3 linked regions of the Notamacropus eugenii genome follow. The protein of the gene in region 3 interacts with the protein of the main gene of each other region in a pairwise test. Links are inferred from orthologs where the notes say so. Each region holds a gene or a part of one and is shown on either strand. Other genes may lie near its edges. The genes, in order: ZFYVE9, RANBP9 and PPP1CA.

Region 1 (3,825 bases), about 490 Mb from region 3:
GATAGAATGCAGGACTATAGAAGCCTTTGGAGGTAATATTTGATTCAAACCCTTTATTTCCCCAGTACAAGTCAAGAGACTTCCCAAAGGTCATACAGAGAGCAAGAAGTAAAATTTGAACCTAGTGCTACCTCAAGTCCTTGTGGAATTTGCAGAGATGTTCTGCCATACTTCCATCCTGAAACCCACCTGAAGAACAAGGACATTATACTACAGCTGGTTGAGCTAGGTAAGTTGATAAAGTGCCAGCGTATTTTAATAATGTTGAAGGAGTGGGGAAAACATAGAAATACTTTCATTTTTTACCAAAAATCTATCTGTTGAGTACTTCAGTGGGTTATCAAAGGAAGATGCCTAATATTCTCTCATGGAGATATTTAAGAAACGAAGAAAGGCCAATTTACCAGGATGGTCTGGAGGAAAGATAATGTAATAGAGCACAGAAGGTTCCTTCTGGTGCTGCAACTACAATAGTGTGATCAATAAAATCTCATCTTCATGTTCCATTGCTCTCTAGTTTAGAACAATGATAATGAAATAACACCCAAATGGATGTGGAATCTTTTAGATAGGAGCTTCAACTGCAGAATCTCAGCCCACCACGCCGTTCAATCCCATGTGCCTCTTGTCCAGGTGTTTCCCTCAATTTACCACAGAGTCTCACCTAACCTAGAGAGTTTGTCTATGAGACTAAGCAGCTAGGTGTCTAAATACAAAGAGCACCTGGCCTGGAGGAAGGAAAATCTGAGTTCAAATCCGGCCTCAGACACTTACTAGCTGCATGACCCTGGGCAAGTCTCTTCACCCTGTTTGCCTAGGTTTCCAAATCAGTAAAGGAGCAGGAGAAGGAAATGGCAAACCATTCCAGGATCTTTGCCAAGAAAATCCCAAATGGGGTCACCAAGAGTCAAACTCAACTGATCAATAACACACATACATATATATATATATATATATATATATATATATATATATATATATATATATATACTTAAATAAAACAGCAAAAGTAAAACAAATTGGGTTGCCTTCAGGAAATCACAAAGCTCCTTTAATGACCTAAGTTCTCCCAGAAACAAATGCACATCTCTTTAATACCAATAATTTAGTGGGGATATAAGGTTGAGTCAATTAAATAATAGAATCATAAAGTCTCCCAAGTCATAAAGTTGATACACCTTATGTACTCTATTAAACCACAAATAATGACAAACTAGCGTTGAAGCTTCAATCCAAAAAGTAGAAAATGTCCTCTCTCCAAAGTCACTCTTTGTAAAAGACGTTTACCTATTCACAGTAGGTCAAGGTGAAGACAAGAAAATGCTATATTCACATTTTCCATGAACACCTTATTTATGGTATCACATTGTAATCAGTAACGTTCTTTTTCCACTAATATGCAAAGAAGATAATTCATTTCTAAAAATTAAGATCTATTCCGTTGCCATCTGGTACCTGTTCAGTGGCTAGTTAGAGCGATAAAAAACCACCCCTCCTCCGCCACTCATCATCTGGACCTACTTAGCAGTAACCTGGAGGACTCCTCAGGGAGGTCCTGCCCTGCTCCGGAACAGCCCCCACTGCCCAGCCCACCTCTTTATCACAACTGGAGGCTGCCCCCGGGCCGCCAAGCAGGGCTTAGGGGGGTGCCAGCCTTCGGGGCTGCGGGGAGGCCAGGTGCCCCCGGGCAATGCGGGGTGGCGAAGCACCAGTTGCTCCCGGAGGTTCTCCTGCCCACGAAGGGGCTCTGGGGTGCCGGGGCAGCCCGAGCCGCAGGGCCAGGAGGTCGCGGGCAGGGCCTCGAACTGGATGCCGGCGAGGTGCCAGCCCCGGCGCGCCCGAGGATGCCCGGGGATTTCCCCACAGAGGCATCACATGCGCCCACGCGCAGCCCACGCAAACATACACACAGTCCCTCCGCCCGCAGGGCTGGGGTCTCTCTGGGAGGCCCAACAGGGGGACCCGGGGCCCAGGGGAGCCCTCCCCCCCTCCCCGGCAGCGGGGGGCTGCGGGTCCGGGAAGGCGTACATGCGTACGTACGTGTGAGTGCTGCGTGCCCGCATATGCCGCGTACATGTGTGGGGGTGGGGGGCCGCTCACATATGCGTAGGTTGGGCCCGCGCTGGGTGGACCTGGGTGCCGGGATCCCTGCGTGTGCCGGGCATTGTGTGCCCGTGGGCGAGGGGACGGCGGGGGAGGGGGCAGCGGGCTCCCGGGCACTGCCACCTCCCCCCGCGCCCCGGCCCCGATGCGGCTGCCCCTCCGCCCCCCACGGAGACCCCCGCGGGCGCGGGCGGGGTGCGTGAGCGGGCCGCGCGTTCCCGCGCCCCCCTCCCCCCGGCTCGCGCCGCGCGCGCACTTACCGCGGGCCGCCGCTCCCGCCGCCCGGGTCCGCATGGCCGGGGCCCCCGCGCCGGGGCCGCCTGGGGAGGGCGCAGCCCCCGCGCCCGCCGCCGCTGCCGCCCCGCGCCGCCCGCTCCGCATTGGGCTCCGGCCCCGCCCGACCGGCCCTGGCTCCGGCTCCGGGGCCGGGCCCCGAGCGAGGGACTCCCGCACCGAGGAGGGAGCGCAACTCCGGCCGCCGCCCCTGCCGCCCGGCCGTCCTCCCTCTCCGCTCCGGTGCCGGTCCTGGTCCTGGTCCTCCGGCCGCCGCGGCCGCCCCGCCCCGCAGCGCCCCCTGGCCGGGGCTCGGGCTACGGCGCCCGGACTGACTGCGGCGGCCGCCGACGGGGGCGGGGCGGCCGCGGGGGAGGAGGGAGGGGGGAGGGGGGAGGAGGGAGGCGGAGGGAGCCCGAGGCGAGGCGGGCGGGGCCGGGCCGGGCCGGGCCGGGCCGCGCCGCCTGCCGCCGCACTCCACCTAGGCTTAGCACGGCCGCCGCCTTAGCAGCTGCCGCTGCCAACTTGGCCAGCCTGCACGGGCATGGCTTAGAGGGCGGGCCCGAGGCCCAGCTCCGACCCCTTGAGGGGATGGGGCTGGAGACGGGCTACTATCCCTGCCAGTCCCAAAAGAGGCAATCGGAGACCCAGGGCCAGGAGCGAGGAGAGGGGTCCGAGCCTGGCCCCCAGCTCCGCCCCCAAAGGAGCAGAGGCTCCGCCCCCAACGGAGCAGAGACCCCCCCCCCCCAGCTCCGCCCTCAAAGGAGCAGAAGGGTCCGAGCATGGCCCCCTAGCTCCGCCCCCAAAGGAGCAGAGGCCCCCCCCCCCAGCTCCGCCCCCAACGGAGCAGAGGCGCCCCCCCCCCAGCTCCGCCCCCAAAGGAGCAGAGGCCCCCCCCCAGCTCCGCCCCCAAAGGAGCAGAGGCCCCCCCCCAGCTCCGCCCTCAAAGGAGCAGAAGGGTCCGAGCCTGGCCCCTAGCTCCGCCCCCAAAGGAGCAGAGGCCCCCCCCCCAGCTCCGCCCCCAAAGGAGCAGAAGGGTCCCAGCCTGGCCCCTAGCTCCGCCCCCAGGGAGAAGGGGGCTCCTAGCCCAGCACCAAGGCTGATGTGCTGGGAGGATTCCTCAAGGGAAGGCTTTTGGCTCGGCCTCCAGGCATCCCGTCACCATGAAGACCCCTCCTAGGCGCTAGTAATGGAAGGCAACACGGCCACTGTCCCTGCCTTCAAGAAACTTCCATTCCTAGAGCTTCCTGCACCGGACAAATAGAAACTAGAGACAGGACAGAGGAGGTACCCCCATCCCTATAAACTCGGTCAATGCAGGATTATGCTCCAGCACGTGGAATGGGTCTTTGTAGGAGGAGCACGTGGAGCTGAGTTTTGAAGGAAGCTAGAGATTCTTTATTTTTTTTAAGTAAGTACTTATTGATATCTTCAGTTCTTGCATCCTCA
Region 2 (3,825 bases), on a different chromosome or scaffold from region 3:
GTACAGCACAGAAAAGATAATGTGGCCAACAGCTTAAAAAAGAGTGTAGTATTTTTGACATGTTGCTGACTTCACAAAACGCACATAAAATAATTCATTTTCATTATTCACTTTTAAAGTAGCTATTGAAATTGACTTAAACAATTAAGACCATATTTATGCCTAAGTTAAAGAAACTAAAGTCAATAAAAGTTCCTAGGATCTTTGCTTCATTGTACAGATGAGGAAGGTGAGGTCCGTGACGTGCTCAAGATCACATTAAATAATACAATCAAGAGTAATAGCTAAAATTAACTGACTCCAGTGGTTCTTTCCACCACACGACACTAAAACTGGTTTACATATATTTTTCCATTGACTGAAGTTTGTAATAAAAATGAGAATCTATCAAGTCCAACTTAGGAAACTTTTTTGGAAGTTATATCAAAGATAAAAACCATATCCACATAGCATAAAACCTCAGTAATAAAAATAGAAAGTTAAAAGTTTAACAACTAGTATATTATTCTGAAATTTTTAACAATGTAATTGTTTTAAATTGGCAATGCTGTCTAGAAGTGGCAAGAAAAAAATGAGGAAATCAATATTCAGCAACACCAGATTTAATGTATATGGGTCTTCTCAGTACAGCCAAATCATGCTAGCTATGTGCCTGTAGCCATTCTCCTTTATGATTAAACAGTAACTCATTTATCTAAGTCTGTCTCAAATTTCACCCTGTATACTTTAAAGATTTAACCACAAAGTTGTTTTTGCCCTCTATGTTCATCTGCCTAGGACTCCATCAAGACCCTCTCATTGCAGTCAATCAAAAAGAGGCTGTTTTGAACATGAAAGCTCTTATTTCAGGTCTTGGGCCTAAAACAGTATATTTGTTTCCAGATTTAATATTTATTGTTAGATGGATTTTTTTTAAAAAATAGGTCAGATTAATATATTTACTGTTCAGATTAACATAGCTGCTGTTTACTTTTCAGGGAATTTCAAGCCCTGTCTCCACACAATATGCAATTTTATTCACAGCTATTTTTTCAGAAAGCTTTGTTTTGAGAATGTCTGCTGACAGTCACAGAGATCTTGTAAATTAAAAGTATGTAATAGCAATATCAAGACATTAGCAAGTGTGAAATAATCTTGTTTCCACAACACTACCTCTATCTATATAAAAGTACAGATTACTTTAATGCTATTCCCCTTTCTACTACGTTTCAGTAGCCAAGATTTGTTTTTGTGGCTTCACCTTCCTGACACTTCCCTGTTGTGTCTGATGAAATACGTTGACTTCGAACTTGTGCCCTTGGTTCTTCCTTTTCTAAACAATTTCTGGCCTACTTTTCGGAAAAATCTTGCACTAAATAAACATCCATCTCCTTCGTGTTCCTGACCTCCATAGATAAGTGATTATACTTAAGATTCTTTTTATCCCTCCACCAAAAGAATTAAAGCGAGAATCCTGGGAGAACAATGTAACCACAACACAGAAGATAGAAGTTTGCTCTACTTTAAGAGAGATCAGAAAAGAGTTCTGTCCTGACATTGTTGCAAAAAATGTTTCCTTTCTGGATCCTTTCAAGGTGTCCTGTTACGGGTTCGAAGATTACTACATCTCTGCTCAGGATAATTATGCTCACTTTCCTTTCCCCAGGATCTTCCCAGTCCCTCGGATGCGGCCTGCCCCCACCTTTCTTTCCACCACCCTCCATCGCCGAATTTGAAACCCTTTGAAAACAAGTTCGGCAGCGAAAAAGCCTTTTAAAAACAAAAACACGGAAGTGGCGGGATTCCGGGTGGGGGGCCTAGGCCACTTACCTTTGTAGTGGACCCGCAGGTTGTTCTGCGAGAGGCCGATGTAGCTGAACTTGTCCTTCGGGCTCCACGAGCGAGGCAGCGGCGTCTCTTGCTCGTCCACCGCCGGGTAGAGACGCTTGAGCCGCCGCTGAAGCTCCTTCTCCTGCTCGTTCAGGGCCGGGTCCCCGTGGGGAAAGGGGGCCGGGGCGCTGCTCCCCGTGGCCACCGGCGGGGCCCCTCCGGCAGGGCTGGCAGCCGCCGAGATGCCGGGGGCCGGGGAAGCGGCGGCCGCGGCCGGAGGCGGGGGAGGCGGCGGCGGAGGCGGCGGCGGGGCCGCGGTGGCCGGGGGCGGCGGCGGAGGTGGCGGGTGCAGGAGCAGGGCGGCCGCCCCGGCCCCCACCCCGACGCCGCCGCCGCCGCTTCCTGCTGCCCCAGCCGGGGACGCGGCCGCGCCGGGGCCGACCGGAGAGGAGCCGGCACTAACGGGGGTGGGGGCTGGCAGGACGACCCCCGGGGCCGGAGCCACGGCCGGCAGCGGCTGCTGCTGCTGTTGTGGATGTGGATGCTGCTGCTGCTGCTGCTGCTGCCCGGACATCCCGATCCCGGCCGAGACTCACACCCCCGCCTCCGCCTCCTCCTCTTCTCCTTCTTCCTCCTCCGCTCTCCAGGGGCGCTGCCAGCACTGGCCCAGTCCGTCGGTCCGTCCGCCCGCCCCCACCCCCCCTCTCCCCGGAAGCAGGCGGCGGGCCCGCGCGCCTAGGGGTGAGCGCGGCGGTTGGGGGGCTCGTGGGGGAGGGGAAGCCGAGAAGACGCTGGGCTGAGAGCCGGGGATGGAGGAGCGGAGGGGGGGAGGTTGAGAGAAAGAACGTTGGCTCGAGCTGGGCAGTCGCGCGAGGCACGGAGACGGCCGAAGCGACGGAGGGAGATGGAGGGAGACGGAGGGCGGGCGGGGGGAGCGCGCGAGGGAACAGGCGGAGGAGGTCGGTGCTGCCGCCGCCGCTGCCGCTGCCGCTGTTAGCCTGCGGCGGACTCCGCCGGCGCAAGACGTAGCGCGCAGGCGGCGCTAGGCGAGAGAGGCGGGGAGAGGGGGGAGGGGCAGGGACGGAGGAACGGGGAGAGGGGCGGGGGGAGGGAGAGAGGGAGGAGAGAACGAGAGGGGGCGGGGAGGAACTGAAGGGAGGGCGCGCCGTAGGTCGGCCAAAGAGCGCGAGATCCCGGCGAGCTCGGCGGGCCTGGTCCCCGGAGGGTGGAGAAGCGGGGAGGGCTGCCGGAGGCGCTGCGGTCTGTGCGCGATGAGGGGGAGGGGGAGGAGGCGGTAGAGTGGCCTGGCAGCCAGTGCGCGCACGCGCGAGTCCGATCAGCTGGGCTTCTCCCGGGGATGCCTCGGGGACTCACCACTTGAGTGATCCCCGCGTCCCCTTCACGCCAGGAAGGAGCTCTGGGTTTCGCGGCGTGCTCTCTTCCACGCCACCCTCCCCCTCGTCCTCTCCTTTATTTCTCGGGTCCGCCTTTCCCCCAGCCAACCCGCCGCTCCGGCTCCTCTTCTTCCCCCTCCTACTTGTACTTCTTTTTGTTTTGTCGCCCTCCTCCCTCCACCAGCGGCGGCTCTAGCCGCAGCCTCTCGCTTAGGCTAGAGTAATCGAGTGCTGGTGTCGGTGCAGCATCCCCTCAGCCCGCAGCGCTGAGCACCCACGGGGCAGAGCTGAGTGCCCCCCAGCAGGCCACTTCGGAGTGGTGCCGGCTCCGGACAGGCCGGAGAGCCCGGCCGTGCCCGCTCGCCCTGTCTGCTTACACTTGTTCGGGATGTAGACAGTAGCTTCAGAAGTCCCTACAGGAATCCTGAGTTTGCAATTAACAAACACATTAAGAATTCCTGTGACGCCAAGAAAAAGTAACAGTTTTTCTTTGGACTTTGTTTAGAGCTTGCTCCTCATCCTCGAGTGTCCTTTCTGCTCAGTCTTCCTCACCTGTGAAATGCGTGAATTACACTAGCTGACATCTAAGGTTCCTTGCAACTCTAAAATCCTATGATGGTCC
Region 3 (3,825 bases):
CCAGATATGTGACTGAGCTAGGCTTCAGCCCTCCCACTGCCCAGCTTACCCTGCGTCTGAGGGCTTGGCACTGCCCCCAATGAAGCCATAGCGGTCAGCCCTGCGGTAGGGTCCCGGACCATTGAGCTCTGAGTCTGAGCCAAGGGAGCTGGAGTCATCCTGGATATCAGGGGCCTGGGCCAGGTCCTCCCCCAGGGCGGCAGCCATGGATGGCCTGCCCCCTGCTCCTGCAAAGAATCAGAAGCCAGCATCCCGGGGTTACCAGGAGGTCGCTGGCAGCCCCCAGGCCAGGTTCAACCCAGCTTCGTCCATCCTCCTCCTCACCCCCAGGCCCAGACCTGAGCTCCCCCTCCTCAGCTTACACCTGACTCACCTCAGACCGCTGCTGCTTTGCTCAGCCCCTCTTCTCACCTCTGGGGCGCTGGCGCTCTCTCACTTCCTCCCCAGAATCATTTCCTCCTTAGCTGGGTAGCCCCTGGGGTGGGGGTGGGGGCCCACTCTGCCCCTCGCTTTTTCCTGCCCTGACCCAGCCTCCTGCCCCCCACCTGCCTTTCCTTCTTGCGCCCCAGGGATGGCTGGGCTCTCCCCTGCCCCATCACCCTTATATCCAGAGGGCCGACCCCCCCCCCCAACCTTGCCGAAGCTGCTTCTGCGGGGTCTCTCCTCCCTCCTCACATAAGGAAGCCCTGTGCAGTCAGAAGCCTCCGACTCTCTAGGACTCAGTTTCTCCCTTTGTGGTTCTGAATCTGACAATCTCATGGCGCGGCCTCCAGCCCAGGATGGACCACGGGTGGGCTTCCTCGGACTTCCAGCTCCCACGTGGGGGCTGGTCCTGCGTGCTGGCCCACAGCTAAGCGGGAGCCCGGGGGGCAGGGACGGCGCCACTGTCCAGGGTCCTGGAGAGCCCGAGGGCTCAGAAGGCGGCCGAGCGTTCCCGGGGGGGGGGGGTCCCCTGCTGGGAGGGTCCCCCCAGGCCTCCCTTCCTTCCAGCTCCACTTCCCTGGTCTTCCCTCGAACTCCCGCCCCTCCCCCCTCATCATCACCACCACCACCAAGGCGAACGTCTCTGTAGCGCTCTAGGGCTTATAAAGTCCTGACAGCCCCATTTTAAAGACTAGGAAACGGAAGCAGGCAGAGGTTGGGAGAGCAGCCAGGGGTCTAGGGCTGGGGAGGAACGGTCCGAAGGCATATTCGAACCCGCAGCTTGAAGGATCACCGTGGGCAAAGCGCCACCTCGCGGCCCATTTCCCTCTTCTTTCTCGGCCCCCTCTAGGCCCCGCCCCTCTCCCACCACGGGCCCCGCCCACTCCCCCTTCCAGTTCCCTCTTCATTTCCTGGTCCCGCCCCTGTTCTCGGCCTCTTTTCCGGCTCTGGCTGGGGCCCCTCCCTAGCCCTCCTCCTGCTTCTTTTCCTCCTCTTGTCGGGGCCGGCTCTTGACTCGTCGGTCCCACCCCTCCCCTCCTCCTATCCGGGCCGCCGGCTCTCTCCCGGTCCCACCCCTCGTCTCCTCCTCCTCCTATAAGAGCCCTCCGATCGCTCACTGGTCCCGCCTTCCTCCGCCACCGCCGCGGCTGCTCCCCTCCCGCCCGGAGGGCGGCGCTGTGGCGCGCGGCTCGGGGCGGGGCCTGGGCGGGGGCTGAGGCCGCGGGCAGAGGGCGGAGGGCGCGGCGGCGGAGGCGGCGGCGGCGTGAGCGGGCGGCGGGAGCGGCGGCGGCGGGCACGGGCCGGAGGGACGGAGCCGGGGCCCTCGGGGCGGTGCCGCCATGGCCGACAGCGAGAAGCTCAACCTGGACTCCATCATCGGGAGGCTGCTGGAAGGTACCGGGCGGGGCCCGGGGGCCCGGACGGGGGCGGCCGGAAGCGGGGCCGGGGCTTCGCCGGAAGTGCCCGCGGGAGGGGAGGGTGGGGGCCGGGCGGAAGTGCGGCGGGGGCGGGGGGCACCCGGGAACTGGGGGGGGGGGGGCGGGGGCAGGCGGTCTCTGAGGCCTGTGTCCAGTGCAGGGCTCCCGACCCGGCAAGAACGTGCAGCTGACGGAGAACGAGATCCGCGGCCTGTGTCTCAAGTCCCGGGAGATCTTCCTGAGCCAGCCCATCCTCCTCGAGCTCGAGGCACCCCTCAAGATCTGCGGTGAGACCCCCGAGGGGGGCGGCCGGAAGTGCCCGTACGCCGGACACGGCCTCTACAAAGGCCTGGAGGTGGGAGATGAGTCTGAGCCAGGGCGCCCTCCCACCTCTCGACCAGCCCCTTGTAGGGTTTGGGCCAAGCCTCGGTGGTGCTTTGCACCCTACCCCCTCCCCCAGGGCCTAACAGGGTCAAGACGGGGCCAGTGATTGGCTGCAGTGGGAGCTGGGCACCCATGCCCCACTCTCTGAGCCCAGGACAGTTGCCTTCCCAAGGGGGATTTTGAATGGAGCTGGAGTGGCCTGGAGGTCCTTCCCTCCCTGGTCTGGGCTCTTCATGAGTCCAGGGGGTCATTGGCCCACCCTGTTCACGGGCTCCTCTCCCTACGTAGGTGACATCCACGGCCAGTACTATGACCTGCTCAGACTGTTCGAGTACGGGGGCTTTCCCCCGGAGAGCAACTACCTCTTCCTGGGGGACTATGTGGACCGGGGCAAACAGTCCCTGGAGACCATCTGCCTGCTGCTGGCCTACAAGATCAAGTACCCAGAGAATTTCTTCCTCCTTCGAGGGAACCACGAGTGTGCCAGCATCAACCGCATCTACGGCTTCTATGACGAGTGTGAGTGGGGGGTGAGGACAAGGGCGGACGGGTAGTTGAGCCCTTCTCAGGGCTAAGTGGGGGGTCAGCCCCCAGGGCTCATTAGCAGCCTGTCTTCATGGAGCTCCCTCTCCTTCCCTCACAGGCAAGAGACGCTACAACATAAAGCTCTGGAAAACCTTCACGGACTGCTTCAACTGCCTGCCTATTGCAGCCATCGTAGACGAGAAGATTTTCTGCTGTCACGGGGGTGAGGCTTGGTGTGTGGGGCACTGTGACCCTGGGGCTACCTCCCACTTCTTCCAGAGGGTGGGAGGGTCTCCAGCCTGGGGTAGGGGAGTGGTCACCCACCAGGCCAGTCAGGGCTGAGGGGCTCAGAGGAGGCCGCCTTCTCCAGGACTGTCCCCAGACCTACAGTCCATGGAGCAGATCCGGCGCATTATGAGGCCCACAGACGTGCCGGACCAAGGGCTGCTGTGTGACCTCCTGTGGTCAGACCCTGACAAAGACGTGCAAGGCTGGGGGGAGAATGACCGTGGCGTCTCCTTTACTTTTGGAGCTGAGGTGGTGGCCAAGTTCCTTCATAAACATGACCTGGACCTCATCTGCAGAGCACACCAGGTCAGGGACTGGGGCTAGGGGCAGGACGACCTGGCCCGGCCCAGAGGGAGGGATGCTGACCAGGCTTTGCTTTGGCCCAGGTGGTAGAAGATGGTTATGAATTCTTTGCCAAGCGGCAACTGGTGACCCTCTTCTCTGCCCCCAACTACTGTGGTGAGTTTGACAATGCAGGCGCCATGATGAGTGTGGATGAAACCCTCATGTGCTCTTTCCAGGTGCGTGAGCCCAGGGCTGGAGAGGGAAACTTTCTGGGACCAGCCTCTCCCCAGGGCAGCCCATCTGACCAGCCCTATCTCTCCGCAGATCCTTAAGCCAGCCGACAAGAACAAAGGCAAATATGGGCAGTTTAGTGGCCTGAATCCTGGTGGCCGCCCCATCACCCCACCCCGTAACTCTGCCAAGGCCAAGAAATAGCCGTCGTGGGCATGACTGATTGTACAGAAATCCTGGCTCCTCCTGGGGTCTCTGACATCCAGGAGAG

What was found.
Region 1: the proteins of PPP1CA (region 3) and ZFYVE9 interact in binary tests that used the Homo sapiens proteins (3 or more experiments, as listed by UniProt). The link is inferred for Notamacropus eugenii from reciprocal best matches to the Homo sapiens genes PPP1CA and ZFYVE9.
Region 2: the proteins of PPP1CA (region 3) and RANBP9 interact in a two-hybrid assay, tested with the Homo sapiens proteins (2 studies listed by BioGRID and IntAct). The link is inferred for Notamacropus eugenii from reciprocal best matches to the Homo sapiens genes PPP1CA and RANBP9.

What each region holds. Positions count from the first base shown.
Region 1 is NC_092873.1:512,294,595-512,298,419, reverse strand, and holds the start of ZFYVE9 (zinc finger FYVE domain-containing protein 9), read right to left. Parts: upstream 2,452-3,825; 5' UTR 2,364-2,451; intron 2,196-2,363; exon of another isoform or gene 2,041-2,195; intron 1-2,040. UniProt on the Homo sapiens protein: Early endosomal protein that functions to recruit SMAD2/SMAD3 to intracellular membranes and to the TGF-beta receptor.
Region 2 is NC_092875.1:185,683,902-185,687,726, forward strand, and holds the start of RANBP9 (ran-binding protein 9), read right to left. Parts: upstream 2,809-3,825; 5' UTR 2,384-2,808; coding exon 1,810-2,383; intron 1-1,809. UniProt on the Homo sapiens protein: May act as scaffolding protein, and as adapter protein to couple membrane receptors to intracellular signaling pathways. Acts as a mediator of cell spreading and actin cytoskeleton rearrangement.
Region 3 is NC_092873.1:19,861,196-19,865,020, reverse strand, and holds the start of PPP1CA (serine/threonine-protein phosphatase PP1-alpha catalytic subunit), read left to right. Parts: upstream 1-1,670; 5' UTR 1,671-1,763; coding exon 1,764-1,818; intron 1,819-1,996; coding exon 1,997-2,128; intron 2,129-2,513; coding exon 2,514-2,744; intron 2,745-2,868; coding exon 2,869-2,973; intron 2,974-3,120; coding exon 3,121-3,344; intron 3,345-3,424; coding exon 3,425-3,559; intron 3,560-3,647; coding exon 3,648-3,758; 3' UTR 3,759-3,825. Other genes in the region: TBC1D10C (carabin), read right to left, coding at 50-207. UniProt on the Homo sapiens protein: Protein phosphatase that associates with over 200 regulatory proteins to form highly specific holoenzymes which dephosphorylate hundreds of biological targets.